Tamandua tetradactyla: one gene and its partners. The protein of the gene in region 1 interacts with the protein of each later gene in a pairwise test. Links are inferred from orthologs where the notes say so. Each region holds a gene or a part of one and is shown in the gene's direction. Other genes may lie near its edges.

Evidence for each region.
Region 2: the proteins of CCDC33 (region 1) and LMO2 interact in a two-hybrid assay, tested with the Homo sapiens proteins (2 studies listed by BioGRID). The two-hybrid records come from large-scale screens. The link is inferred for Tamandua tetradactyla from reciprocal best matches to the Homo sapiens genes CCDC33 and LMO2.
Region 3: the proteins of CCDC33 (region 1) and ZBTB8A interact in a two-hybrid assay, tested with the Homo sapiens proteins (2 studies listed by BioGRID and IntAct). The two-hybrid records come from large-scale screens. The link is inferred for Tamandua tetradactyla from reciprocal best matches to the Homo sapiens genes CCDC33 and ZBTB8A.
Region 4: the proteins of CCDC33 (region 1) and PIN1 interact in a two-hybrid assay, tested with the Homo sapiens proteins (2 studies listed by BioGRID). The two-hybrid records come from large-scale screens. The link is inferred for Tamandua tetradactyla from reciprocal best matches to the Homo sapiens genes CCDC33 and PIN1.

The regions. Positions count from the first base shown.
Region 1 is NC_135338.1:67,862,160-67,869,625, reverse strand, and holds the start of CCDC33 (coiled-coil domain-containing protein 33), read left to right. Parts: upstream 1-4,451; 5' UTR 4,452-4,494; coding exon 4,495-4,566; intron 4,567-7,466.
Region 2 is NC_135334.1:110,238,885-110,246,687, reverse strand, and holds the start of LMO2 (rhombotin-2), read left to right. Parts: upstream 1-4,801; 5' UTR 4,802-4,808; coding exon 4,809-4,815; intron 4,816-4,938; coding exon 4,939-5,167; intron 5,168-7,803. UniProt on the Homo sapiens protein: Acts with TAL1/SCL to regulate red blood cell development. Also acts with LDB1 to maintain erythroid precursors in an immature state.
Region 3 is NC_135328.1:193,360,892-193,368,598, reverse strand, and holds the start of ZBTB8A (zinc finger and BTB domain-containing protein 8A), read left to right. Parts: upstream 1-4,703; 5' UTR 4,704-5,095; intron 5,096-7,707. UniProt on the Homo sapiens protein: May be involved in transcriptional regulation.
Region 4 is NC_135337.1:91,911,440-91,918,574, reverse strand, and holds the start of PIN1 (peptidyl-prolyl cis-trans isomerase NIMA-interacting 1), read left to right. Parts: upstream 1-4,127; 5' UTR 4,128-4,177; coding exon 4,178-4,235; intron 4,236-6,154; coding exon 6,155-6,361; intron 6,362-7,135. UniProt on the Homo sapiens protein: Peptidyl-prolyl cis/trans isomerase (PPIase) that binds to and isomerizes specific phosphorylated Ser/Thr-Pro (pSer/Thr-Pro) motifs.

The DNA.
Region 1 (7,466 bases):
GCTGGGCAAGAGGCTGCGTGGACAGCCATGAGCCACCTGCCCTGACCCTTCTTGCTGCCTGGCAAGCCCAGTGCCAGGCCAGCCAAGGAAGCCTGGCTCGGGGGACCTCGCCTTCCCCCCAAACAGGGCTCCAGCCAGCGGCTTGCCCCTCCCAGAGCTGTGGGCTTCCTAATGGCTGTGTTTAACCCCCGGACCCTCCAATAACGCTGCTTCCAGCACTTTCTCTTCTTTCTGCACTGCGGCATGTGGTCTCAGCCTCGGGGGAGTAGGGTAACCTATTAGCTGTGAGATTAATCATTACCTGCTTCCCCTCCTCACACTGGACTCACTCTGAGTCATTAAAGCTTGGGGCTGCCCACTGGGCAGGGGCAGAAGTTTCCTCTGGACATCTGGGGAGCAGAGGAGGCTCATTTCCCTGGGGTGGGGGTGGGGGGAGGAAGGGCAGATAGAAATGTGAAGTAGCTTCTATCAGTCTTGTCGCTAAGTAGAAAGCCCACCCCCAGCCCCCAGGTTGAAGGACCTCTCACTGATGGTGGGAGGAAAGGAAGTAGTTCTGGGTGGAAGGTTGGGGTGGGCCCAGGAGCTGGTGTCCCTGGGGTCCTTTGCCCCAGGAGATGGTGGAAGGGGCCCCCTTCTGGTGACTGTTGAACGTGCAAGGGCCCTCTGGTGCTCTGGAGCCAGCTGGCATAGAACCAGCACCCAACTGCATTCATTATCTTCTTCCCAGGCAGGAAGGCCACAGGGCTGGGGGCTGTACCTGCAGAAAGCTCAAGGAAGCTGAGTGAAAGGCTTGTGCCCAGGGGCAGCCCTAGGAAGGGTGGCTGGATGAGGGCTGGAGGGGAGGAGATGCGGGGCAGGGCTGGGACTACAGTGGGGGGAGCCAGGTGGGCAGAGCATGAACTTCAAAGGGGCGTGCCCTGCCTGGGAGCATTCATACAGCCCTGCAAGTGAGTGCTTCCTTAAAGCTTACTCCTTAGGCACCTTGCTAGCCTCTCCCATCCTGCTGTGGACTCCTGAACAGGGACAGGGTCAGTGCTGGCTGCCCACCCATTGAACTTGCTGCCTCCTGGATGAAGCAGGCCAGGGAGGGAGGGCAGAGGCACTGCAGGGAGCTGGAACCGGCAGCTGCATCCTGCTCGGCACAAGCTCCATGTTGTGACAGTGCTGGTCCAGGAGAGAGCGGGACCAGCCCATCCATTGCCGAGGGAGGTTCGTGGCCCCAGAGCCCGAGGGGCACCACCCTTGGCAGGCCAGGAGGGGCAGAAAACTGGAAGCGAGACTCCTGGCTCCCATCCCCACCTGTCTGTGTGACCACAGCCAGTCTTTTCAGTTCTAATCAAACATGGGGCCTCAATTTTTTTCTGTCTCTAAATTGGGAAGAACCACATCTTCTCTGCCTCCTTCTCTGGAGTAGAGGTGAAGGGAGAAGCTGGGAAGCCTCATCAAAGCTCGTCTCCTGCCTCCTGCCACCGTGGTGGGCCTGTCCGTGGGTCACAAACCAAGGAAAATGGAAAGTGCCCTCAATATGGGATCTAAAACAGCTGGCAGAATGAGGCAAGTAGACAACAGGGGTCTCCCAAATACTTCCAAACTCTAGCCCAGGATTCCTGATCATCCATCAAGGCCAAGTCCAAACCCCACCTTCCCATGAGCAGCCACCACGCCAGGTCAGGGGCTACTCACTCCCTATTCTGACATCTTGCTGCACTTAAAAGCACTTAGCGCTGCGCCTCACACAGAAAAAGAAGTTATCCTTGTAACAATTTTTTATGGAGCTCAGAATTGGATCAACCATAATCTTTTCTTTTTTCGGGGTGGTGGGCAGGGGTGCATGGGCCAGGAATCAAGCCTGGGTCATGGCAGTCAATCATTCTACCAGTGACCCATCCATGCACCCTATAACCATAACCTTTGATTTGCAATCCAGTGCCATTGTTGACCCATATTCGGCCTTCTTTAATTCTTTAATAATTTATTTTCAATAACGTAATCAACACCCAATAGGTGACCCACCAATCTAAGTAACAGAACATCATAGATAACGTATGTTTATGGGTTCTCTTCCCATTCTCTCCCCCATCCTCCCACCTCAAGAGGAAACTGTTCTCTTAACTTTTGTGTTTATTATTGTTTTAAACGAAGCACCCAAGAGGTCAGGATGGCTGCAGATTCTTTTATAGATATAGCTGTTTTCCTGCCAAACTGATGGCAGTGCCTCAGTCCCCTCCTTTCCTGTAGTGTGACATGCGCGGGGCTTGGCACATAGGGTGGTTGGGGAATCTTGGTTGCCTGGCCATTCCAAGAGCAGGAAGTCTGAGGACCAGGTGCCAGACAGTAGCAAGGATGCAGCTCTGAGAGTCAGGAAATGGGCCTCTGATCCCAGCCCCCTCCACTGGACAGGGATGGGTGTGGCTTCGTCCTGCCTGTGACATCACACAGTGTTGCCCAGGTGACCCCGTGCAGTGGAAAAGCTCACTACTTTTCTGGGTTCCGGGCAGAGAGAGAGCCACTCCTGCCTTCACCTTGGGAGCACCAGGAGTCAATTGCCTGGCTTCCAATCCCCGCCCAGCCAGCTATGGCCCAGACCCCCCTCGGCATCTGTACCTATTAGCCCTCTTGCTGCTGAGAAAGACCTAGGCCCCACCCTACCCCACCTGTCCTTACCCCCCACCCCCAAAGCCAGTGTATGGCACCACTGGCGCACCACTGATGCTCTGTACTGTCCGTCACCCCCATAGGCCCCCGTGGTGCCTGGGCCAGCTGTCTGGACACGACTAATGCCTGGTCACCCATCAGTCCCAGGTACCAGTACCCAAGATTGTTAAACAAGGCCAAACACTCCTGGCCCCAAGAGGATGGGACGGAAAAAGAAAAAGGTGAGGCCTGGGGGCATGGGACACACCCCTGCGTGAACTCACCTCTCCTTCAAAGTCCCTTGTTTTTGTTTCCTCCTATATCATGACAAGACCTCCCTTCTCTGAACCGCTGGTTTTGCAGCTATGAAAGGTGGAGTGGGGTGAGGTGGTCTCTGTGGCTCTTGCAGTTTAGGTATCCTGTCCTCCTGGGCTGCATGGGATCTGAAATAGGGTGTGCTCACAGGTGATGTCAACTAACTACCCCTACCTGGTTGTTTCTGCCCCAGGCCGAGGTTCCCGTGACCCAGAGAAAAGTGCAGTTTGGCCTGAGTTATTGCACCCACACACAACCTGGAGAGGGGCTTGTACCCTCTTGTTGCTGAGGGCACATGGGCCCAGAGAGCCCACTGAGATGGCTCATCATCACTCTCCAAAATCTCCCAGGAGACCCCAGGCTCATTATTCTGCCATCTGCTTTAGACCCCTTTTTTTTTTTTTCATCTCACACCCACCAGAATGGCCATTATCAACAAAACAGAAAAAGACCCCATTTTGAGGGCTCTTTTCATCAAACTTGGCCCTTTCTCTGGCCTGCAGTGGAGCTTCTCCAGCGGGGTGGCTTTCAGACACAGGGCTCTTCTGGAGGGTGGAACTGAGCTTCTTTGCCTCTCTTGGTCTTCCAGATTGCTGGGAGGAGAAGGGTCGTGAGGGAAAAAGGATCTGGGGGATGGAGGAGTTTGTCTTCTTCCATCCCCACCAGAGCCAATTTTAGGCCCTGACCATGGGAGTTGAGTCTAATGGGCCATTAACTCCTCCGTTGCTGGTCCTGTCCTCCCCCAGCTCCCCCAGTGCTCCCAATCCAAAAATGCCTTCAATAATAGACAGTCCCAGTTACCCCCAGACATCTGCTGGCTAATCTGGTTTACTGAGGGCAAGGCAGCCAGCCTCGAGGGTTAAGGTGTTGGAAATAGCACCTTCTCAGCCAGCCCACGGGCCAGGTCCTGGTGGAGTGGTGGAGAGTGCTGTGCTTTGGACCCCAGCAGTCTTCAGGACTCATTTCTGGCTCTGCCATCCACTGGCTGTGTGGCTCTAGGCAGGTAAACCGGCCTAGAGAGGTGGACTACTACTTTCTCCACCCTAGTGGCGCTGGTGGGTTAACTGAGAATAAGTCTGAAAAGCAGATGTAGCATCCAGCTCTGCTCTTGCCCAGAGGAGGCATGCAGCAGCAGAGGTGAGTTCTCTCCCAGAGCTCATTATACCCCCACCGATGGATCTGTGGTACCTGAGACATGGGGGTTCTTCACCATCACCCACAGTTCACTCCCCAGAATGTGCACCCCCCACCCTCTGACACATTCCCCCAGTGCAGCCCTGCAGGGGGTGGGGGGTGGGGGAGGAACCATTGGTCCTGATGCAAGCATGTCTCTCTCTGAGGGAAACCTGCAGATTCCCTTTCAGATGTGGGAAGGAAAGAGGGACGGGCAGAAAAGTTCCGGCCCACAGCCCTGCCCCTAGTCTGGGCCTCACACTTGGCCCCAACCTCCCTGGCCTCGGGCCCAGCCTGCCCAGTGGGCACCTGCCTGCTGGCCTCACCGGGAGGCGCCAGCCTGGCAGCTGGCCTCATGCCCAGAAGTGAAGCATGAATATTCTCTCCAAACCCTCTGCAAGCTTTATTTCCCAGAAGACTGTCCCAGGGGGAGGCACAGAGGCGGTAAGAGGAAAGGACCCAATTCCTGGTCTGAGCTTGGCATTTTGAGATATAACCTTTCCCAAAGGTCAAAATACATGTTCTTGGGCCCTCACTTCAGTGAGTTTAGGGGGCGAATGACAGGCCCTGTGCTCTCTACAACAAGGAGTTGGGACTGCCGTCCCAGGCGGCTCCTGGGAATCTGGGGGTGGGTGGCGCATCAGTCACCTCTCCGGGCTTTACTGCAGGAACCTCTGATCAGCCAGGGACCCAGAAGACTGAATCAGAAACCATTCCAGATATTCCCCTTGGCCAGGCGGAAAAATGAGGCTCAGAGAGAAGAGGACAGGGGGGTGGAGGCACAGCAAGGCTAAAATCCACCTCCCTGTCCCCTCCCAAGCTAGTCAGGGGCCCACACCTGCTGGGGGGGTGGAGTTGGCTGTGGCGGGGGGGGGGGGGGGGGGGGGGGGGGGGGGGGGGGGCATAGTGAGTACGGACCTTGGAAAGGAAGCAGTCTGACCCTCGAGGGAAGGGAGGGAGCAGTGCCCGGGCTGTCCCACAGCCCCTCCATCTCCCCTCCACCAACTGGAGCTCCCTATAAGCACTGGCCTCTCCCACCCCCACCCTTGCCTGGTAGGAAAATAGAGGAGAGGGGGAGGGGCAGCTCTCATTAACACCTCTGCAAATGGTGACAGTCCTGTTGGGGTCTGGAGGGAGGGGGAGGGGCACCCTGCTCAGTCAGAGGAAGGGAAGCCCCCCCAACCCCTGCTGCTTGCCATTAGGCGAGGGCCACTGCCTCCACCAGGAGGTCCTGATAGAGAGCAGAAACCTTCAGGAAGTGAAGGAGCAAGCTTCCAAGATGGACATTTGGGGGAAAAGCTTACTGGGGCAGAGGGAACAGAAGGGCAAAAGCTCAGAGGCGGGAGAGAGTTTGCTGTGTTCTGAGAAATGGCCAGGAGGTCAGGGGGCCTGGAGCACAGTGAGCCCGGGAGGACCAAGAGGAGGTCAGTTCCAGAGGGCCGAACAAAGGCTCCAAGTGAAAGGGGGGCCACTGCAGGACTCTGAGCACAGGAGGACCACCCTGGCTGCTGAGGGGTTGGAGTGGGGTGGTGGGTGGAGGCACGGCAAGAAAGGAGACAGGGAACACAATCCAGAGGCGAGTGTCTTGTACGGGGCGGTTGAAGTGGCGATGGTGACAAGCGGTCAGACTCTAGATTCAGTTTGAAGGTAGAGCCGACAAGATATGCTGCTGGCCGGGTGTGCGGGCAGAGAGGGGGAGAGACGGATAGGTGAAGGACACTGAGGGTCGGGGCTTAAACAACTTGAAGAATGGAGTTGCCCTTGAGTTGGGACAGACTGTGGGAAGAGAAGCTTGAAGAGACAGTAAAGGAGTTATGGAGTTGGGCTTTGGCTTGTTAATGTGGAGATGTCCACCAACCCTCCAAGGGAGGCTGTCAAGGGGCCATCTTGAGTAGGCTGGGGCTTCCATACCATCATCCTGAAAACTGAATGAAGTAGCTAATCCACAAAAGGCCACAGGGCCAATCAGAAGCTCAAGCTCTCCAGCCTTCCCTTCGGCTCCTCTCTGGGCCACGTTCCTTCCTCCATGTAACAAGACATGGTCCTCCATGATTTCCACGGACCTTTCCCCCCTCCACCAGAGGCTGCCCTGGAATGCAGGGTCTGACAAGCTGAGCTTTCCCGATGAAAGGATCAGCCTCCCAGGGGCTCCCTCGGCTCCACCTGGAACCTGAGGCAGTCCACTGCCCCTCTCCTTGGCCCCCTCACATCAGCTGGTGCCTATTAATCAGCAGGAGGGGAGAGGAGACCTGGCCTTCTGCCAGGTGAGGCCTAGCAAGGGTGAAGATGGGTCAGCTGTGTCACCCTCAGATGCTGAGTGGAGAGAGTCAGCCAACCAGTGCAGGGGGAGAGCCAGGAGACCCTACCCACAGCAGGCCCACCTCCACACCCCATAGTCAACCCCATAAACATTCCTCTGGCTCCCACCTCCCCAGGTCACCCACTTTCCCTGACTCCCCACTGCTGCCAAGGCTTAACTGAACATGCTCCGGACCTCAGAAGCCACCCTCCCTGCCTTTCTTAGGTGCTACCCTGGCTCACCCTGTTCTACTTTCTGGCTTGTCCTTCTGGCTCCACTCATGCTGAGTCTCCCAACCCTTCCTCTTGCCAGAAGCCTTCCCTGACTGCTCTAACTGTGATTGCCTTCGTCTCCTGTCAGCAGCTCTCATCATGATGGTCCTTTGGCCCATGAATCCACAGCTCTTGAGCTGTTGAGCCCCTGCCACTGGGTCTGCTAGAGATGGCCAGCCCAGGAGGCCCTGTGTGTGGACGAAGGCCTCTTCTCCTTCCTGGCCCACAGGGTTCTCTGGGTGGAAGACAGATGTGGCATCTGGGATGGGCACATTCATTAATCTCCATTAATGTGTTCAGTGATGCCATGGATGTGTATACGTTTTGTAAACTGTAAAGTGCAGTGTGCAGGAGGGACATGAAGTGACAGTGCTTTGAGGTGAGGTGACAGGATGCCAGTTGCTAGGACCTCAAAAGTAGATGGGCTTTAGGAATTATAGGCAAGGCAACCTGCCAAAGCAAAGGCTTAGAGGTGGTAATGGACTTGAAATGTGAGGTGACCTGGAGCTGAGGATGGAGGTCTTGAGGAACGACAGGAAGTTAGGTTGTGGGGGCATTCCTGCCCTTTTCCAGCTCTCATTCTGACAGAGCTGTGGTGAACTGCAACAGGAGGGAGGCAAGGCAAGTTCTTGAGCCGAGGCGTCACAGGGGAGAATGGTATTTTAGACTGACAGAGCTTGCTACAGTCAGGGGCAGTTTGGAGGGGGAGACGCTGCAGAAAAAAGACAAACCAAGGATGGAAGAGGCAAGGGAGGGACTGAGAGAGATGTTGG
Region 2 (7,803 bases), on another chromosome or scaffold:
CAGATCCCACGAGCAAGCAAAGAGCACAAAGTTTGTTCCGTGAGCCCAGCTCACCCAGCTCTGACTCCCTCTTGAATTTGGAGCAGCAAATAAGCTCAGGGTCCAAGATCTAAAACAGAAGGGCAGGAGTGAGTTTGATGTGGCAGAAGTAGAAGAGGCTGTTGGCTTTATGTCTCTCGTTTACTTTGTTCATCAAAGGATATGATGTATCAATGGTTTTTCAAACATTTTAAAGCTGGCATATCTTTAATAAGCAAAATCTTCTACAGGAGTTTACTTTGCACCAGTCACCTTTCCAAGTGCATTAGATGTTTATATATCACAGAATCCTTTAAACAGCTCTATGAGAAAGGTATTCTGAATACGCCCATTTTATAGATGTGGAAGCTGAAGGCAGAGAGGTTGAGCAGCATGCCCACGGTCAAGGTCAACAAGGGTGGAGGTGCAGTAGGTGGAGCAGGGGTGGGCAAAACCAGCTAGGGAAGTGTCTTAGAACCGTAGGGACTCCAAGGAGCAAGCTGGAAAATTACATGGGACTCTGTTAATATCTCCCTACGAAATTGTGAAATGTTGAGACAGTCACTTCAGCACTTAATTTTGCCTCATTTCTTAGTTGTAAAAGGTGGCTCTGTAAACAATGTTGTTAGAGGTAGAAAATAAGACGGATAAAATCAGGGATGTGGCAAAAGCAGGCGGTGTGGCAAGGGGAGCAGGTTAAAGTAGCAGCAGATTAGCCAGAAGCCTGCCCAGGGCCTAAATGGGCACAGCCCTTTATTTCTGGCTGGGAGAGGTGGGCTCCCCAGCCAGAGAGCTGCTGATGCTTTAAGAAGGCTTCTGATTTTTCTGTAGCACCTCCATCTCAGCATTCTTTGGAGGATATCTCAATTGGCTAGGAAATTGCTGCTTTTCGATACCGGGCTGATTACTTCTGAAAGACAGGGTAATAACATGAGCAATCATTTCTGAGCATTTACTGTGCAAAGCATTTTAACACACTTTATTGTATTGAATCATCTCAAAATTCTGGAGAGGTGAGCAGGTACCCCTGTGACCTCACCCTAGTACCGGACCTGCTGGACATTATTACTACCTCCATTTGACAGAGAAACTGAAGTTCAGAGAGGTGAAATAACTTCTCAAAATCACACAGCTAGTAAATAACCGAGCTATACCTGTCTGACTCCTATGCTCATTCTCCTAAGATTCAGCTGGTAAGAATTTTTTTTTTAAGATTTATTTAGGGCTCTTCTGTAATGTACAGGAAACTTGGCTAATTTATCACTAAGGTTACTAATAGGTCTAAAATTCTGTGAAATCACGTCCTATCAACTGTCCCTGAACCCTTCTGAAATGATTGAGAGCTAGATACCTGTGACAACTGAATAATTTAGAAGAATTTTGAAAGGGAGCTAAAGTCATATTGAGATAGATCTTTATTTTTGTTCCTAAATGTGAATGTCACAACAAACTGGCATATGTTACAACTTGGCTTCTAATTGTTGGGGGAGAAAAAGAGGTAAATTGTCATTCTTGGCAGTTTCCCAATGATATTTACATTTTCATTTCTATTAGAAGTTCATTTTAGCAAAGGGATTATAAAGGGAAGGCTACAAGGGATGTAGCCTTCATCACTTGAAAATGCTCTTCTCTAGAAAATAATTGTAACTGTTATAATCAAAAGAACAGAAAATGCTGGCGGGAGGCAAATTCATCATGCAGACAGCTTCAGTCTTCTGACATTCATATTCTGTAAGAAAACGTAGAAATTTCTCAATTTTAGGGTATTTAAGATTTGCAAGCAGTTGGGGAGTAGGAGAAGGAATTAAATTTCAATCCAACCGGGGAGGGATCAAGTTCAGATTTCCCCAGCACTCAAGAACCATTTCACATGTCCACAGTGCTTCCCAGTTACTGAGTTTCTCTGCTGTACAAAGCCTGTGTCGGTTGCTACAGGAAGATGTGTAGCATTAAGGTCATCCTTGCTTAAAAATTATTCAGAATAAAAACACATTTTTGAGACTTGATTCTAAATGTTAAACTTAAACGTGAGCGACTTAATTGTCCGTTGAATAGAAATGAAATCCCACCGGTAGGCAGTTATTTCTTACAACCACTGTGTGTGAAATTGAAATCTTAAGATACCATTTCAAACATTCACCTTCTGTAAGGAAGTTCTCCCCAAAGAGTTGTGAAAGATAAGAAAGTGACCCAGAATCATATGCAATAATCTCTCTTTTTTTATACACTCAGGTCAATGCAGAAGCATATTACTAAAAGGAAATTTTATGCCAAAAAGTTAGCCATTCTGAGATTACCTCCTGGAATCCAAGGATAGATTTATTTTAACAACTGGTTTGAAAGGAGGTAGCAACTTATCAGATTTAATCAAAGCAAGCAGATGCAAACATATCATCTAGTCACCAGGATAATGAACATGAAAATGGAAAAAGCTTACGTGTTTTGTTTACGAGCAGTAGGGGTGAGGTGTAAGCACCCTAGGTCTGTTTACCTTTTCAATGTAGAGAATACTTTTGAATTTAGCTGGGAGAGTCTTATTTTAAAGCCCCATTTTCCAATTAAATTTCAAGCTCTTTTATAATTCTCTCAATGAAGCATTTCATTATAACATAGCAGTTGCCATTTATGAGCTCTTACTACGTGCTAGGTGCTTTCCATGCATATAAGCTCATAGCTCATTTAATCTTTGCAAACTTCTATGAGGAGGTCCTATTATAACTCTCACCCTGTTGTCAAGTCTAAATACCATGCTTGCATGTGTTACCTCATTTAATCTTCATAACATCCCAAGCAATAGGTTCTATTATTCCCATTTTACAGATGAGGCTACTGGGAGGTTAAAATCCTGTGTTAGCCCAGGTTAACACAGCTGAGAAGAGGAGGGGTAAAACACTGGCACTCTGGCTCCAGATTTTGTACTCTTGGCCACTACAAAATACTGCCTTCTCAAATTAAGTAACTTTCGTAGACCACACTGACAAGTGAGAGCCTAAATCAAATCCAGGCAGCCCAATTCCAAAGTCCTCATATTTAACCACATGGACTGATTAAACCAGGTAAACCACTTATTGCAACCTGCATGTTCATTTTGATTTCTGGTTGTAGAGTCATAGGTTATGTATTTATCACATACTTTAGGCCTGCCTAAACATTTTAGGGGTTTTCTTTCTTAAATTAAAAACAAAGGTCTGATCAGGAAAATGTCCTCCTATGTACCGAAGGTCTTGGCCTTGGACTTCCTTTAGCACACATACACAGAGATTTTAATTATACTCATCAGAGACTCAAGCCTTGGGACCTGAAGATGAGAAAAATGACAAGAGTGATCGATGCTAGACAACAGTAAATTCTGGTTATACTTGTGAAGTCAGTGAAGATTTGGCTCTGACCAGGGAAAATGAAGTGACCAAGGAGTCACTTCTGATTTCAGCCTCCACCATTGGGGGAAACCTATTCAGGACGCTTTAATGCCAACTTTTAAGGTGGGAATAAAATGCTTATGACCATGATTCAGAGGGAGCCTAGAAAACTATGGATTCTGAAAATTCTCGGTGGTTTCATTTTTGCAAGACTTATAACTGGCATCAGGCAGAAACAGGCCTTTAATCATCATTTCTGAAGGCAGACATTTCCAAGTTTGAGGCTCAGGGAACTGAAGTTGGTCTCTACCGGAGGGCAGACTCAATTAGCTTCTTCCTCTCTCCTTCCTCTGCATTCCTCACTCTTCCAAGATGTTGCTCTCGAGGTTTGACATCAGGTCTGGCTTCTTTCCCTTTCCCTGGCCCAGGACAAAACGACCTCCCTATTGCTCTTGATCATGGGGAAAGCAGTGGGCTGTGCAGGGTATTTACTGGTATTTCATGGGGGCAGGGGGTGGGGTGCGCAGTCGAACCGCAGGGGTCCGCCTCCGTGCACTTTCTCAAGGATGCTGAGGGAGGGAATTCCGTCAGCCGGCAGATGGAGACGAGACCCCGACCCGAGTGATCCCTCCCCTCCGATTTTCCTCTGGGATTAGCTGCCCCTGGCACAGCTCCGGCAGTGCCCAGCCCGCTCGGCCCGAGCTGCCTTCGTGGAGTGCGGACGCAGCCACCAGCTAGCAGCCAGCCGAGCCGCGCTGTCCCGGGCATCCTCGCGCGGAGCGTCGGGGGACCTCGAAGCCCGGAAGGGCGAGGAAGCCACTCCGAACGCTTGCGTTTCTGTAGGTGCTTCTTTCACCTCCTTGTCTTTTCTTTCTTCCTCGACCTGCCCGCTGGTTACTTTCAGCCTTAGTTGAACTGAAAGGGCAACGCGGAGGAGGGGGAGTCTTAAAGGATTTAGAGGCAGCCCAGCCTCCTCTCCAAAGAGGGGGTGTTGACCGAGCGACTCACCCGGTCCCTGACGCTGGCCCCTTTAAGAAGCGAAGTCCGTCCTGCGCGGCCGCTGTTTGTATTGCTAATCCCCAGGAGCCCCGTTTAAAAAGGGGGGGAGGGGGAAGGGGGGGGAGGATGGCCGGGCAGCTGTCTCTTTAAATGTGATTTCCTTCTATTGTATTTGAATCGTGATCAGGAAAAAGGAAATGAAACCAGAGACAGAGGGAAGCTGAGCGAAAATAGACCTTTCCCGGCGAGGAGGGAGCCCAGGGGCGCGACGCACGGGCCCCTCCCCGCCCGCCGCCCCCTCCCTGCCCTCCGCGGCGAGCTGCGCGCTGCGACCCGGGCGGAAGGTGCGAGGGGCGCGGGGCGGCCCGGCGGCGCGGATCCGGCGACGGCGCGCGAACGGGACCGGGCGGTGGCGGTGGCGGCGGGACCGGGATGGAAGGTTAAGTCCTGAGCGGCAGCAGCTGCTGCAGATGCCCCGGGCCAGGCTGCGCGTCCCGGCCCCGGTCTCGGCCGCGGCGCGCCCGCAGCCCGGTGATTCGCTCTCTCTCTTTGGCGTTTGAAGGGAGCGCGGTGACTGTCCTTGAGCGCGGAGGGCCGAGCTCGCCGCCGGAGCTCCCGAGCAAGCGGAGGCGCAAGAGCGGCGGCAGCGGCGGCGCCCGAGCACCCGAGGGGGTCCGAGCCCTGGCAGCCGGCCAGCCCCGCACCACAAAGGGAGCGCCTCCCCCGTCCGGCACGCCGCCTCCCTCCCCAATGTCCTCGGCCATCGAGAGGAAGAGCCTGGACCCGTCTGAGTGAGTGTGGCACCCCTGTCGCTTTCACCCACGCTCTCCACGGCCTCGCGCCCCGTGGTTAGTGGGGTGGCACGGCTACCCCCCACCAGCACCACCACCCCGCGAGGGGCTTCAGGTGCGCGCCCGCGGCGTGCCCTTGGCGCCCTCCGCCTTGCTCTCGGGCTGGCGGGGGATAGTGCGGGAAAGGGGTTCTGGCCCTGCACCCCGCGGGCCCCTCTCGGCTGCCTGGGACGTTCCGCGAGCCCTCCGCGGGCCAGAAAGTTTGCACCGGAGCGGGCACCGGGGGAGCTCGGAGGCGCGTAGGTGCAGGTCAGGCGAGAGTGCAGGGCTGGATTCTGCTCCTTTCGCCTCCCCCCGCCCCGGCCCGCTTTCTCTTTGTCCAGTTGGTCTTGGAAAGGGGGACGTTCCGAGTGGAGGCCTCCCGCACCCCCCACGGCCCCCTTCCCAGCCCGCAGGTGGAGCGACCCCGGGCCGCGCGGGTGCCTCGCCGCCTACGGGGTCCCAGCGTCCACTTCCGAGCCTACTCTGGCCTCCAGACACTTCTAGAGCCGATAAATCCGGAGTTAATCAGAGTTCATGTTTCTTGGGGTCCGCTGATGGGGTTTCTCTATCTCGAAGGGCAGCGCACCATTTTGTGTATAGGTGAATTTTTCTAGGGCGGGGAGTCTCGTGGGTTTTTCATGGTCTCCAAAGGCTTTAGAGTCGGGGAACCAGGACTCCCAAGAGCATCTGCCGCGTCTGTTTTCTGAGCCTCCTACTGACTTGGAATGTTCCCCTATTTCCAATTTACACCCCCAACCCATTCTTTGGTGATAACATGGGGAGAAAGGGTTGTTTAAGATCTCATTTTCCCGTCAACGTAAATGCCCTTTTAAGATTCATTAACTGTCTGGTTTTGAGAATTTTTATTCCTTTGAAGTCCCCATCTAATCCTTTGAAGGGATTTGTTACACAGACCAAAGCAGCTGGTTAATGACTTGTCCATTTGTGCTCTTAAGAGGCGTTTGTTTTGGTTTTTTCTTTTCTTGTTTTAAAGAATTGTGCTTTCTTGTTAGAAGTCTCCCGCCACCCCACCAATTTCAGCCCTTGGTGGTGTTTATTTACCTGGGTTTTACCCTCAGTTACTGACATGAAAGCTCAGCATGTTCTCATAAAACTCAGGAAGTGCCACAATCCAGCGAGAATATAAACATCACTATTCAATCTTAAAGGTTAAGACACCAGTTCTGTAAGGAGCCGGGTTTGTGTTAACAAACCCCCAGCTTCCTTGGACTAATTCTCAAGAGAAAAATAACATTCCTTTACTTAAATGTATGTATCTGTGCAAACAATGAGTTTAAAGGGTGGTTTGTTCACTTTTTTTTTTTTTTTTTAACAAACTTAGAATTACAATTTAGTCCAGAGACTGGGCAAGACCATAGTAATAAAGAGAGTGAACTGGATGAATTGGTAGCTAATGCCCTTTCGACCAGCCAAAACTTAGTCACTAATCCTTTTATTAGAAGACAAATCTGGAGGTTTCACTTTCCCTAAGGAAGTTTAGTCTTTTCAAAATTTTCCTTTTTCACTGAGGTTAGAAAATTGAAGCATCCTAGCCTCATAAAATACATCAAGCACCTAACTGAAGGGCACTAACTATTCCATTCTTCACTATTTTCCAGTGAAGACAGGTACTAACTGAAGACGGACAAGCTAGTTGAGGAAATGGTGCCAGCACATTTTTCCCCCTCTTTCCCAGAAAAGGTTGATAAATTATGCCCAGAAATCCAGGCAGAAGTGATTTTTCAGGTGTAATATTCAGGATAGGCTCTAGGAAAACATAAAACATTAATTTGAAGGTGAATCCTACTCAGTCTTTTGCTTGGAACGTCCTCCATGGACAGCATGATGTTATCATAAACTCTAACAGATGGAGCCAGTATCTTATCCTGTGTTTACTATTTCATTTCAGGCCATCGTGATAGCTCCTTTGCTTAATATTTCTACTGCGGACCACTATCCTGATAGATGCTTCACTGCATACTTACCCAAAGCCAACTGGAGTCATTACCATTAGCATCTCCATATTCCAGATGGAGACTTGCCCAGGCTCAGGCAAACCCAACATTTAGACAGAAGGGCAGCCAGACTTTGTGAGCTTGGAGATATCTTTTAGGATGCACTCGGTGCCCCTTACCGCCTCCCTATGAGTCACAAGAGCAATTCATTTTAATTTCAGGCAGTTTTGCACCAGCTAAGTGCAAATTCTCCTCTTTCACAGTTGGTTGGCAGTGTCAGCACCGGGGCATTCAGTGTGGTGGAGGTTCTGTGAGTGTTTTGAAAGCCCCAAGTAAGATCAAGGCCCGTGGAATGAGAAGAGCTGCATTCTGATTACAGATGTACATAAAATGTATGTACATAAAAATGCTGGGCATAGTAGTTATTTTTCCAGAGGGAGAATGGAAGTCTTTATGTATGATCTGTAGAGGCAAAGAATAGTAAAGCAAGTCAAGCCTGTAAATTATTACAACTATTTAAGGGCTTGATTTCCTTTTTCTTTTTTAATTGGCTTGGGTTTCACCTTTCCTCGTTCTAAAAGGAGATAATCTCATGAAGTGTCCTTATATAGTCCTTTACTCTCTCCATCTGCAGAGTGT
Region 3 (7,707 bases), on another chromosome or scaffold:
TAAAAGGCTTCCAGTGATTATATTAAGCATGACTCATTGCAGAAGACACTCCACTTGGCTGATTACAAATGGAATCAGCTGTGGATGCAGCTGACATGATCATGATTTAATTCTATGAAATGTCTTTGTCACTACAGACTGGCCAGCACTTGACCAACCAGACAAACAGGTACCACCAACTTGGCCAAGTTCACATATGAACCTGACTGTGACAGACCTTAAAGCCAAAGCATAAGCAACAAAAGAAAAAAATAGGCAAATGGAAATTCATCAAAATTAAAAAGTTTTGTGCATCAAAGGACTTCCTCATGAAAGTAAAAAGAAAACCTACAGAATGGGAGAAAACAGTTGGAAACTGCATATCCAATAAGGGTTTAATTCCCAGAATTTATAAAGAACTTCTATAACTCAACAATAAAAAGAATAACAACCCAATTTTAAAATTGACAAAAGATATGAAAAGACATTTCTCCAAAAAAAAAAAGGAAAAAATGGTCAATAAGTCCATGAAAAAGTTCTCAACCATTAGCAATTATGGAAATGTAAATCAAAAGCACAATAAGATGCTATTTCACACCCACTAGAATGGTTAATGTTTAAAAAAACTGGAAAATAACAAGTGTTGGAGAGGATGTTGAGAAGTATGAACACTCATTCATTGTAGTTAGGAATGTAAAATCATGCCGCTGCTTTGGAAGACAGTTTGGCAGTTCCTTAGGAAGTTAAATATAGAATTACCATATCACCAGGAAATTCCATTTTTAGGTATATAACAAAAAGAGTTGAAAACAGGGATGTTGCACATGGATGTTCATAGCAGTATTATTTACTATAGCCAAAAAGTGAAAGCAATCAAAATGTGGTGGTTTGAATTAGTATGTACCCAAGAAAAACAAGTTCTTAAATCTAATCTATTCTAGTGGGTGTAAACTCACTGTAAGAAGGATCTTTTGATGAAGGTGCTTCAGTTAAAGTGTGCCCCATTTACTTTAGGATGGTACTTAATTGTATTACTGGAGTTCTTTATTAACGGAATGAGTACAGACAGAGGAAAAGCCAGGGAAGCAAGAAGCTGAAATCAATGAAACCTGGAAAAGAAGAGGGAGACCAGCAGATGCCACCATGTGTCTTGTCATGTGGCAGAGGAGTCAAGGATCACTGGCAGCCAGTCTTCAGGAAGAAAGCACTGCCCTGATTTGGACATTTTCCTAGCTTCAGCCATCTGCGAATAAATTCCCACTGTTTAAGCCAAGCCATTTAATTGCTTTAAACAGCCTAGGAAACTAAAACACAAGAGAGTCCATCAACAGATGAACGCGTAGACAAAGTATGGTATATACATACAATGGAGTATATAAAAAGCCATAAAAAGGAATGTTGTTCTAATACATGTGACAACATGGATGAAACTTAAAAACATCATGTTGTGTGAAATAAGCCAGAAATAAGAGAACAAATATTTTAAGAGCTCATTGATATGAAATAATTAGGATAAACAAATTCACAGTATCAAAACTAGAATACAGGTTCCCGGGGCCAGGATGGAGGGAGAGAATAGGGAGTTATTGCTTAATTGGTACGGTGTTTCTATTTAGCATTATGGAAAGGTTTTGGTAATGGATGATGGTGATGATAGCACAACTCTGAGAATGTAATTAACACCAGTGAATGATATAATTGAATTGCTTAAAAGGGGAAAATTTAGGTTGTATGTAATTATAGAATAAAAAAATGTTTAAAAGCCATAGAACTGTACAACACAAACAGTGACCCTGTAATGTAAACAATGGACTATAGTTAATAGTTTAATAATATTGTTTCATTAATTGTAACAAAGGTACCACACTAATGCAAAGTGTGAATAATAGGGATTCTGTGTGTGTGAGGGGGGCATATATGGCAACTACTGAATTACTTTCTGCATTATTTTTCCATTTATTGACAAATTCTCTAATAAAAAATTTTTGAGCAAAAAAGAAAAAAAAAAGATCATTGAGTGTATGGGAACTCTGTAATTTCTGTGCAATTTGTCTGTAAATTTGTCGGCTCTAAAAATAAAGTTCATTTTTAAAAGGCCACAGTATGACAGGAAAAGCCACAGCCCAAGCACTGGAGGCTATGCTAAGCAGCCATAAACAATAGCCAAAGTCACAACACAGAATTGGCCTGGTAAAGATACCACAACTGCTCTCAGCAAACAGACACAGCAGCTCGCAGAACCAATAACGCTAGAACTGGACAGCAGATGTTGCTACCAGTGGTGCGGCCATCATAGCCCCTGGAGATGTTATTTTGATGCAACTGCCACCACTGTCAGAGAGAATTTTTTGAGGTCCTTACTTGTTGGCATCACAGCTCCCTCTTCAAAACCCCTGGAGGGTGGATCTGATTATCAAAGCATAGACCATGGATCATTGTTCTAGCTGCAAGAGATTCTGGGAAAGCATGTCTCTTGCATTTCCAGATTCTACTTCACATCAATTATCCATGAAGTAGGGAATCCTCCAAACATATGAATCAGATTCAGAGGCCATGCATACAAAAAGAATGTGGATGTCCGATCTGAATCTCCAACCGACTGTCTCAAAGACATCTCAACCTCAACATGTTCAAGATGAATTTATAATCACTGTTGTCTTCCTACTCTACCACACACACACACACAACCTTGATCCTCTTCTAGTCTTTTCTCTCACAGTGAATGGGGCCACCATTGATCCAATAGCACAAGTCGAAGGGCTGGGAGTTGTTTTCAATGCTTCCTTCTCCTTTAGTTCCCATAGCTGACTTATTATTTCTAATATTTATACCTCTTCCACTTCTCTAGGTCCAGATCCATCTTTTCTTAGCTGGACCACTGCAATCTACTCTTCCCTTCCTCTAAATCTATTCTCCCCACTATAGCCACAGCCATTTTTCAAAAGGCTTTTCTCATCATGTCACACATTCCCCACTCAGCTTAACGAACATCAGGAACTTCCATAATTCTTAACATGGCTTACAAAACCCTGCATGGACTGGTACCTGCTTACCTCTTCCACCTCATCTCTCACCACTCTCACTCTGCACTCCAGCCTCATGTGCTTTTTATATCATGCTCCTTTCTACCAAGCACCTTTTTACATTTTATTCCTTCTATCTGGAATGCTCCCTACTAATCCCACCTTTGTCTATTAATTCCTACTTCAGATTTCTCATCTAAATCACTTCTTCAAGGAAGCCGCCCTAAACCTTACTGCTCCACAGAAGTCCCCATGTCTTCCATATACTCATATGGAAGACCTATGAATCTTTCCAGATGTCTTTCCTTCATGATTTATCAAAGTTTTGAATGATACGTGTATGTGGCCATCTGTTTTCCCCACTAGACTGCAAGTCCCATGAAGGCAGGGACCAGGTCTATCTTTTGCTCACCATTGCATTCACAGAACATTTACCCATCGTAGGTGCTAAATAAATAGGTTAATATTGGAATGAGTTATCTCCCTCAAGAATTAGCACTGAAGATACACATACACAACCCAGAACCAAAGACAGAAAGGAAAAAGAAATGAAAAGCATAAGAGAATATGTGTTGGTTAATGGTGGAGCACCAGCAAAGAGAAGCATGAACTCCTGCAGCTGGGAGGGTGAAGGTGAAGGAAAAAAATCTGATGCCCTGAGCTCCCTTGGACCTACTGGATCTTCCAGTTTCACTTTCAGGGAGACTAGCTTCACAGCTCTTTCTTCTCACTTCTCCCTTAACCAGTGGAATGATAAGCTCCCATTACTTCTCTTTATAATCAAGTTTGTCACTGATCTTATGTGCTCTTTTGAGAAACATATTGGTATAACTCTGTCCCATGTTTTAATTAACTGAGGCTAAAATGAAACCTTCTGTTATGACAATGTCCAGGTATTTCTGGGAGATTTCTCAATATGAGTGCTTGCAGAGCCTGATATCTGATGGTTTTCAAACGTTTTCACTTTTCTAAAACTAAATAGCAACACACCTCTGGAACAATACAGTAGGGACATTAAGAGATAGTTGAATATTTTTCATCCTTTCTGCAAAGGGTATGATCTTCAAAATACATAGCTAATTACTGATAAAACCAAAGTAATAAACTTTGTCCAACATGATTGATTATAACGTAGAAAAGAACCCATTCAAAAGCTAAATGTGTTTTGAAATTGGGTCTTTTTTTTTTCACTTTTACTATAATACAGTTCTTTTCAGTACTTGACCCCAATAAAAGGACTAGACAACTAATTTAGTTTCTAAAACTAATGCTTCTACAGTTACATGAAAATTAAGTGAATTACTATTTTAGCAAATGTATATCCTGATGCCTATACCCTAAACATTAGAGACATAAATTTGTCGGGTTTGATGGGCAATGAATGTATTTGAAAACAAAAGACATGCTATCTTTACTAATTGTATATTTTCTCTGAACTTAACTAAGAATTATGTTCTCTTATTTCAGCCTGTCTGGTTTTTCCTCTTTAAATGAAATACTTGTGACCTATAGAGGTTTAGAAAAGGTTATCTCCGAGTAAAATAACTGCTCTAATAAAGAAAATTCTGTGAAAAGCTTTTATTTTTGACGTTGCTAAACTTAAGTACAATAATGTCACATGTACTTATACAGTAATTGTGGGCACGCCTAAGTCCCTCCCTCTTTCCTAAACCAAATTCCCCAGATCCTAGAAATCCAGCCCTTCTGCCCTCCGGAGGCGCCTTTCCCAACGTAAACTACAATTTTAAATTTAAGCTCCTGACTATATAATGATTCCGCAGTCAACTGCTAGGGAATCTGGGCGCCCCAGTGCCTCTGGAGGGTGCAGCGGGGTGTAGGCAAGGACAGGGGGAGTGGGCGAAGCTGCTGGTTGGTGCCTGAAATCTGTGCGTTGCCCCTTTAATTGTGTCCCCAGCCCTCGGGCGTTTCTGTCCAACGCCCACGTCAGCAAATACCTTTTGTTTCTCTCACGTTGGGGCTACTTGTTTTAGGGCGCAAAGGAACGGCTTCGAAAGGGGGTATTACCCCTGCCGAGAACCAGGAATCCTCCATCGGCCCGCGAGCGCGACCCGCCGGTGCGCCACGGCCCCGCGGTAAGTGGCTGCGCGCGGCGCGGGCGGAGGGCGGGCGGGGCGTCGGGGCTGTCCCGGCCGGGCCCGCGAGCCTAGCTGCGGGCGGAGGCGCCGCCGGCCCGGCGGGCTCTGACCGCCCCGGCGGTGGGATGCGGGCCCAGGGCACGCCGCCCTCAGACGTTCCCTGCCAGAAAAGCGGCGGGAGGCTAGAGGCGCAGAGGCGAGCGGGCGCCATTTGCAGCCCCGGGCGAAGCGGGGGCCGCCACCGGCTCTGAGGGGCTGGTGACGGTCACAAAGGGGACGCGGAAAGATGGGGGCGGAGGACACAGCCTCAGGGCGGCGCCCGGGCGGTCCGCGGGGAGAGACGGGCGGCGCCGGGGCGCACCAGCTACCGTGACCACCCCGGCCCGCGCCCGGCCGGGTCTCTGTGCCCGGCAGGCAGCCCCGCCTGCGCGCCCGGGAGGGGCTGCGGGACAATGGCCGCGCCGTCGCCGTCCGCGCCCTGCCGCCCCCGCCGAGCGCGGCGCCCGCCTCGCCGCCCCGCCGGGCCGCGGCGCGGGGAAAGGCGGGAAGGCGCGCGGAGCCTCCTGGCGGCGGCGAGGAAGCGGTGCGGGGACCGTGCCGGGCGTGTCTGGAGCCGTCGGGCGCCGCCGACTCCCCGAGGGTTGGCGGCCAGCCGGGCACAGGCTATGCGGCTGAGTGGCGGGCAGCCCGCCCAATGGGGTGGCGCGGGGCGCGGGCGCGGGTGCGGGTGGGGCGGGGGTTCAGGGCTTCTCCCCGCGCGGCCTCGGGCACTGACTCCAGAGGGTGGCTCCCAGGCTGCAGCCCGAGTTTCTCCTAACATCCACCATCCTCTGGTTTTGTGACATGTTGCGACAGATCTGGGCTTAGAACCGAAGGCAGACTTACTGTACCTAACAAATGCTGAGCTTATAAGTATTTGTTTTATGACGGAATCATACATACACATCTTCTACTTAGGTCCTTTTTGTAAATTGGTCAGCGGTTTGGCCCCTTCTTCAGCAAATGCTCGCATTGATCCTGCCAATAGCCAGAGTCCACATCTTTCCAAGACGGTGTGGAAGCGGCGGAATCACAGCGGGCTTTTAACTACGCACGTCAGTACTTAGCAGGCTTAGAACCAAACACGTCAGTATCACCTCTTTCCTGGTTTTGCAGAATAAATCGAATTGTTTCACTTAATTTCAGTCTCCCAGTCATGCTGATGGTTATTCCATTTTCCAGATGCTTTACGCGCCCAGTTTCACTCCTAGGCCAGGAGGCGAATGAGGGCAACTTTCCAAAGGGCCCTGCCTTCTGTTCCCCACCTCTGCTTTCCCTCCGCCGGCACTGCCAGCCCAGCCTTCTAGAAGGGCGAGTTGGTCACATCTTAACATCTTCATCAGTATAGAATCCTCAGCAAAGGAATGGGCTTCTCTGGCCCCCTGAGTCAGAGCCCTTCACTGGTAAGCAGGGATCAGATCTCGTCTTTCCTGAGATTCCTCCTCAGGTGGGCACGTGTGAGGAGTCAGCTGCTGTAAAACGTCAGCAGGGGGCCACGTATGGGTGCACCATCCAAGGAGCTGGCCATTTAAACTTCCCACCTAACAAAGACGCCTGCAAGCACTCCTTAACCCGTAGCCCTTCCATCACCAGAGTTGCTGTGTGTAATAGCTTGGGCCCGGTAAAAATTTTGTGATACCTGATTCATCCTATATCATTTAAATCTTATTTTCTAGATAAAACAATTTCTATCTAATACACTTAACTCAGTGGCATCATGGTATGTTTATAATACTTGAAGGATTTGACAATTTTTTGATGCCTTTGAGGGAAATTTTTGTCACTTCTCTGTTCAAAACTGTGAGTGGCTCCCAGTTTCACGCAGATTAAAAGCCCTCTCAGTAGTCTACAAGGCCCTACAGTTGGTCTCACACGTTCCACCCCCACAATGCGCCCTCCCTTTCTGACTTCATCTTCCCCTGCTTTCACCATCCCTCGCTGAGGTTCCTCCAACCTGTCTTTGCATTGGCTGTTCCATCTGTCTGGAACTCACTTCCTGCAGATAGCCACAGGACGCTCCCCCCCCCCCCCCTTTTTCTCTCTCACACACACACACCTCTCTTCCTTAGGACTTTACTCAGAAATCCTCTTCTCAATGAAGCTTTCCCCACTACGATTTTGATTTTCTTAAATCAGTTTTATTCTTCATTCTAAATTCTAAATCTTTCCAGGGTTAAAAGATATTTACCCACCAAAGAATATAATTACTATTCCAGTTCATTGAAGTTCCTTATCACCCAGAGATTTTTACCTGGATTCTTTCTGGTAACCCCAATGAGATACACCAAGTTTTAAGTTAATGACTGTATATCTTAAAAGAAATAGTCTTATAGCCCACAGCCTTTTAAAATCAAGTTATTGTTACCTAAGTCTTTTGTCTAGTCATGGAAATACATGTCTTTTCCTTCTATTCCAAAGACTTTTGAACTTAAGGGTTCCTGAAGTATGCAATTGTGTTTTTCATCTACTCTTTTTCCTTTTGGGGGGAGGGGGGATACGTTGTCCAGGAATCGAACTCGGGTCTCGCATATGAAAGGTGAGCATTCTACCACTGAATCAACCATACACCC
Region 4 (7,135 bases), on another chromosome or scaffold:
AAGGACAACTCTCCCTTTCAGAAAGTTTCCAAATAATATAGATGGAAAGGTAAAATTAAGAGATCCCACTGGAGCACCACAGGGGTAATTGCTGCAGGCAAGATCCACTGGTAGATGCTGAAGTGAGTGACAAAATTTAAGCAGAAGTAGGAGGTTTGCATAGTCTCAAAGTATGACTCTCAAAATGCTTGTTCATTACAAAAGAGGAAAATAGTAAGTATAGATACCACTTTAATCAAGTGATCAAAGTTAATATCATCAGTGTGGTAAGCAGTCTCTGAGATGGCCCACATCCTGATATTCTAACCCTTGTGTAATCCTGTCTTCGATGTGGTCTGCATCTGGTTTCTAATGAATAGAGTATGACAAAAAAGATGGGATGTTACTTCTGACAGTAGGTTGCAAAGAAACTGCAGTCTCCATCTTGCTTGCTCACTCTTGCTTTTTTGCTTGGTCATTGATAAAAGCTGGCTGCCATATGGTAAGCTGCTTTATGGAAAGGCCCCCAGCCAACAGCCAGCAAGGAACCTTAACACTCAGTCCAGCATCCTCTGAAGAGCTGAATCCTGCCAACAACCATATGGACCAGCTTGGAAGCAGGTCCTGCCACAGTCAAACCTTTTGATGAGCCCGCAACTGTCCATGCCAACACAGCTAAGCTGTGCCCAGATTCCTAACCCAGAGAAAACAGATAATAAATGATAATCCACTAAGAAGTGGGATCATTTGTTTGCAGCATTAGATACTGTACTATAATCAGTAATAAATTTCAGCATCATCTATCACCTGATAATATGCACTGAGAAGGTCACATGGATTCTGTGGTATCCGCAATATGCATAACCTTGGCTAATCATGAGAAATGGACTAACGCATCATGACAACACATCAGAATGAGGGAATTCTATCCTTTAAAAGTGTCAAGGTCATGAGAGACAAGGGAAGAGCCTGTGGTTTAGTTAATAGCATTGCACCAATGTTGATTTCTTAGTTTTGATGACTGTTTTAGGCCAAGATATCCCAACCTTGCCGCTGTTGACGTTTTGGCTGGATACTTCTTTGTTGTGGAGGCTGTGCATTGTAGGATGTTTTGCAGCACCCTTGGCCTCTACCCACTTGATACCAGTAGTGTTCTTCCCCTGCCTCCACCACCATTTGTGAGAACCAAAAATGTCTTAAGACATTACCAAAAGTCCCCTGGAGAGCAAAGTCATACCCAGTTGGAGGCACTGCCCTATTTCTGTGTAAGATGGTATCATAAGAGAAAGCTGGGTGAAGGGTTAGGGGAACACTGTACTGCATTTGTACCTCTGCTCTAAGTCTAGAATTATCTCAAAAATAAAAGTTCTTTCTTAAAAATTGATGCTAATTCATGCTTGTGAAAAAAGACCCAGGGGGTGCAAGGGTAGTTCAGTGGTAGAAGTCTCACCTGCCATGCAGAAGAGCCGGGTTCAATTCCTGGTCCATGCACTTCCCAAAAATAAACAAAAATTCAACAAATCGTGCTGCAATAATGGGATACATGGAAAAAATAATGAAATGTGACCCCACCATACAGCATACCAAAAAAAAATCCAAATAGTATATTAAAAATTGAGTTTAATATCTTTATTCACTCTCATCACCAAATCATTAACACGTTTGAACAAATTCCAAAATTTTCTGATTCAAATCTATAGTTTTTACACAGTTGAGATAAGTATGTATGTTTATACTGTTTGCAGATTGCTTTTTCACTTTATATTTTTGACGTCTTTCCATATGCAATCTATCTCAGTCTTTTAATTGGTACCCATTTTAGTTTCCCAGCTGTTAAAACAAATACCGTACAATGGGTTGGCTTAACAGGAGTTTATTGGCTCAAACTCTCAAAGCCTAGAAAGCTTGTTTGCTCCCAGGGTCAGTATCTTCTGGCTGACTGGCTGTCTTGGCTTTTCCACCCCATGGCAATGTGCATGGCACCTCTTCTATCTCCTCTGGGTTCCCTTGACTTCCAGCTTCTCACTTCCAATAGCTTTTTCCTTCTATATCTGAATTTCATTCTGTTTATACAGGACTCCAGTAATGTGGATTAAAACTCAACCAGATTGAGTTGTTTTGAAAGTGTAGCCTACTCCAGAAAAACCACGTCCTTTAATCATGATTCAGTATTGCAGGGTGGGAACCTTTGATTAGATTGTTTCCATGGAGATTGACCCACTCAATTGTGGGTATGACCTTTTTGATTAGAGTACTCCCATGAAGATGTGGCCTGCCCAATTATGGGTGTGGCCTTTTGGTTAGAAGATGTGGTTCCGCCCATTCAAGGTGGGTGTTGATTCGTTTATGGAGTCCTTTAAAAGAGGAGACATTTTGGAGGAAGCTGAGAGCTGACAGAGATGCAGACACCTGGAGATTCTTGGAGGGCTGACAGCATATAGTGGCTATGTACCTTCCCATGAGGTGCCAAGCTAATCAGAACCCAGAGTTGTGTCCTGGAGGAATTAAGTGAAGACACTTAGAGAGGAAACCACTCGAATCAGAAGCTGGATGCAACGGAATCAGGAACAAGGACCAGCAGACGCCAGCCATGTGCCTTCCCATGTGACAGGCTTTCTTGAGTCAAGGTATCTTTCTCTGGATGCCTTTAGTTTGGACATTTTTCTGGCTTTAGAACTGTAAGCTTTGTAACAATAAATTCCCTTTTTAAAAGGCATTCCATTTCTGGTGTATTGCATGCTGGCAACTTTAGCAAACCAATACACTGATTCAGTTGGGCTACACCTTAACTGAAGTGTCATCTTCAAGATCCTATTTACAATGGGTCCAAACCCATTAGAAAGTGGACTGAGACAAGAACATGTCCAAACTGGGGTGCAATTCAACCTACCACAGTATTCTTTATTAATGTTTTTGTTTTGTTTTGCTTTCGTGCACATTATAATTGCTCTGCTGAGCCATGACTTGCTTTTTTTCACCCAGCATACAATACTGACATTTTCATACCATTGCTATGGGCCAGGCACTGTTTTCAGTGCTTTATCTGAATTAATCCATTTACTCTTCACATCGAACTGGTGAGTATATATACGTATATTTTTTGGTCTCCATTTTGCAGATGGGAAGCCCAAGCACAGAGGTTAAGTGATTTGCTCAAGGTCATAGCAAGGTACCGCCCCCATCCTGCCTCGAATTTGTCCTGGACCTGCTTTCCCTCTGCCTCATTCTTTTCAACAGAAACCCACGCTTTAGATGAACTATAATTGAACTCTCCCGGTGGGTGTCTTTGACTCCCATATCATCTCCACCCTGCAGTGCTCCAGTCCTGAGTCCTCATCCACCTTCCCAGTGCCCCACGGGCACCGCAAACCCAACTTAAAATTGGCTCAAACCAAGCTCATCGTCCTCCCCGGTTCCCACCCGCGCCGCCCCCCACCCCCCACCCCCCAGGACGGAGGAAGGAGCGAGGTTGAGAGGGAATAAGTGATGGGAGCAGGTCCCAGAGGAAGGGGACGGTGTCAGGAATCAGTAGCACAGACAGGGGTTTAGCCTGGCCAAAAATAAAGGAGGGCGGGTTGGCTTTGGACTTCTGGTTGGAAACAGGTGGGAAAAGGGAGAATGGAGGAGCCTAATTTAGGTTTTGGGCTCCCAGCTACTCGTCACCAAGGCGACTGCGTTGCTATGGCAACAGCAAAGGCAACACCGCCTTTCCCAAGAACCTTGTCGGCTGCCGTTACCCCCACACCCGGCAAACACTTCCCCGAGGATAGCAACCAGGGGGGCCTGCGGACCTCTGGGGACGGCTTGGGAGGGTGGGAAGGGCCGCCTCGGTGGCCAAGCACCAGGCTCCGGGTTGCCCGGCTGGGCGGCGAGGCAGCGACGCCGCGATCTGGACTCTGAAGCTCGCCAAAGAGCGTGGAGAAAGGCGGGCCCGCATCATGACCCACCAATCAGAGGGACGGGGCGGGGCGGGGGTGAGGCCGGTCGGGGGCGGGGCCTTAGGGAAGGCAGGGGTGGGGCCGCCTTCTCTCTCTTCTGCCCAATAAAAAGCCTGGCAGCGAGGGCCGACGGCGGGGGTGGCCAATAAGCGTTGTCTCCAGGCCCGGGGCGGGGCGCGTCGAGCCAATCGGCGGCGGCAGTGGGCGGGTGCGGGCGGCGGCGCGGCGGAGGCGGAACGGGCGCTGCGGAAGAAGGGAAGATGGCGGATGAGGAGAAGCTGCCGCCTGGCTGGGAGAAGCGCATGAGCCGCAGCTCAGGTGCCGCGGGAGTCGGGGGCGGCCGGGGCCGGGGCGGGACCGCGCGGGCCCGCGAAAGCTGGGCTCGAGCTACACCTGGGGCCCCGCGGCGCTTCCGCCTCTTTCCCGTGGGGTCTTGGTTCCTCCGCGTTGTCCCCGAGTAACGGCCCTGTGGGGCCTCTGAGCCTCGAGAGCCAGGAAGCCGGGGGAAACTGAGACCGGGGTGCGGTGGGGAGGGGCCAGGGAGCCCGCAGCTCACCCCCGGACCTTGGCCCTGTCTCTGCCGGCCCTCATGCGCCTGACGTCCCTGTATCCCTTCGGGCTCGGAGGGCATCCCTGGAGAGGGTAACCCCATAATCCATGCCCGGGGCGTGGCTTCCTCGAAACACCCTTGCCAACCACACTTAATGCACGGTCTGTGATATCCACCGCAGAAACCCTGTCTGAGCACGGGCCCTGCGTGGGGACCCCCCCCCCCCCCATAACGACACCAATATCAGGCCACGTTCATCTCTGCACCAGGCAGAATCTCCCCAACTCTGGGAACTTGACGGTTATTGCCCCCATTTTGCAGGGCAGGACACTGAGGCCAGAAAGCTTAAGGAACTCTTGCCCGTGGTCATTCAGTTTAGGGGGTAGTGACTGGATTAAATCCAGTAAACTGGATTATATATATCGAAGAATCTTAGTTTTTTGATAAAAAAATTAAACCTGACTCCCGGGGCCCTCCCCAAAATCATGTCACTGCAAACTTCATAGGAGCCCAGCAGCTATCTCCAGAGCTCAGAGGAACAGCACTTTGCATGCATCTTCATTGACTCTCTCTCCACACATTCACCCATGAGGTTTGATGTCCTTATTCTCTCACCCCCACTCTTCAGATGAGAACAGTGAGGTTCAGGGGGATAGATCTCATTGCAGAAGGTTTTGTAGTCAGTGACTCACCTGGATTTGCCCCCAGAACCCGAGCCCTTGACCTGCCCCCCCACCTTTGCCTGTGTCTGGGTCCTGTGGCATCAGCCTGATGCTCTTGCCAAGCTCTGGGTTCCCCCACTCCTGACAGTCACCCTCAAGGGTGACCCCCTGCCCTATGCAGCACTGGGCCTGAGTCTTCTATGTGACTCAGGCAAACCCTCAGCCCCTGGGATAACAGTTTTCTCTACTGGGTCCTTCAGGCTTGTTTGCAGACTTCACTTGTACGTGCTCCTCAGTCCCTGGGTGGACCATGGCCCCCGGTAATGCTGGTCCCTGCTTCTTCTGCAGGAGATTATACTGTGCCACAATGGAGAGCAGAGCTTTTGTGTACAGTTCCTGTCTCGCCCCATGCCCCCATCCCACTCCCTGACCTTGGAGCAGAGTAAACAACTGAGGAAACGTTACCCGCTCTTGCTCTTACCACAGACGGGGAAGCAGGGCCTCAGTTTTGCCATCTATAAAAGGGAGGTAATTCTTACATTCTTAATGCATGCCAGGCTCTGTCCTAAGCACTTTATAGATGAGCACTCATTCCTTCCAACAACTCTACAACAGCAACTGTTAGCTCCATTTTACAGGTGGGAAACTCAGGCCCAGGAAAGGGAGAGCATACATACTTTCATACAGTGAACGAATAGCAGAGGTGGATTTGAACCGTGGTGGCATGGCTGTTGAGTGTACACTTGAAACACTCTCCTGTTTTGCTCTCTTCTGTCCCTCCTGGGTTATTTTTCTTTTTGAAGTTATCGATGACTGAAGTTGTCTACTTTGCGTCTTTAGTGCCCGTTTGTCCCCACCTAGTATGTTAACTTCCTGAAGGCAGGGACTGGGTGCTGTTAGATTAGCCCCAGTGTCCCCGGGGCCTATGCCACATGGCAGACACACCATGGATGTGCCAACTGAACACTGGCCAGTCTCTTATCCTGACTTCCAGTCAGCTGAACTTCCACCTCCCTCCCCTCCAGGCCGGGTCTACTACTTCAATCACATCACCAATGCCAGCCAGTGGGAGCGGCCCAGTGGCAACAGCAGTGGCAAAAATGGGCAGGGGGAGCCTGCCAGGGTCCGCTGCTCACACCTGCTGGTCAAGCACAGCCAGTCACGGCGACCCTCGTCCTGGCGGCAGGAAAAGATCACCCGGACAAAGGAGGAGGCCCTGGAGCTGATCAATGGTGAGCACAGCCAGGCACAGGATATCAGTGGAGAGTCTTCACTCTAGGGAGGGCTGGTGGGAACGGGCCTTGTGGGAATCAGACCAGACACTCAGCCCCAGCTGTGAGGTATGGCATGACATGTCACTGCAGGACCTGAGCCTGGCACCCATGGCTGCCTCTTCTTCTCACTATCTGGCATTTCAGGTGAGCCAGGGTAGGCATAGAGGACCCAGCCCTGGAGGCTAACAGATCTGGGGACCCCAGGACCTTGGGGGACCTTTGTCACTGCCTGTCCTCCAAGCTCAGTTTTCTCCTCTGTAAGTGGGCATCACCATGCACCTGCCTCCGAGGTGAGGTAGTGTTGGGCACACAGTCGGCTCTCAGTTGTGGAGCTGTTTTAGTATCATCCAGCAGAGCCCTGGGTCACCTGTGTGGGCAGGTGGGTCCTGAAGGTCATAAAGGTCACACACGCAAAAGGAGCCTTTTGCGTGAGTGAATTCTGACCTGAGAGCGGAGGCTATTCCTAGCACTGTTCTGTCTCCTTCACAGTCTAGAGCAGGGATTGACTTTTTTCTTAAAAGGGTAGATGGACAAATAGTTTTGGCTCTGCAGGACATAAGGTCTCTGTTGCAGTGGGAAGGCAGCCAATAACAATTCGTAAACAAATGGTCGTGGCTGTGTTCCACTAAAACCTTATTTGCCAAAGCAAATGGGGTTTGGCCCATCAGGGTTTGCAGAACCCTCGTCTAAAGCTGTCTAGTATGGCCACCACTATCTACATGAGACCGTTTA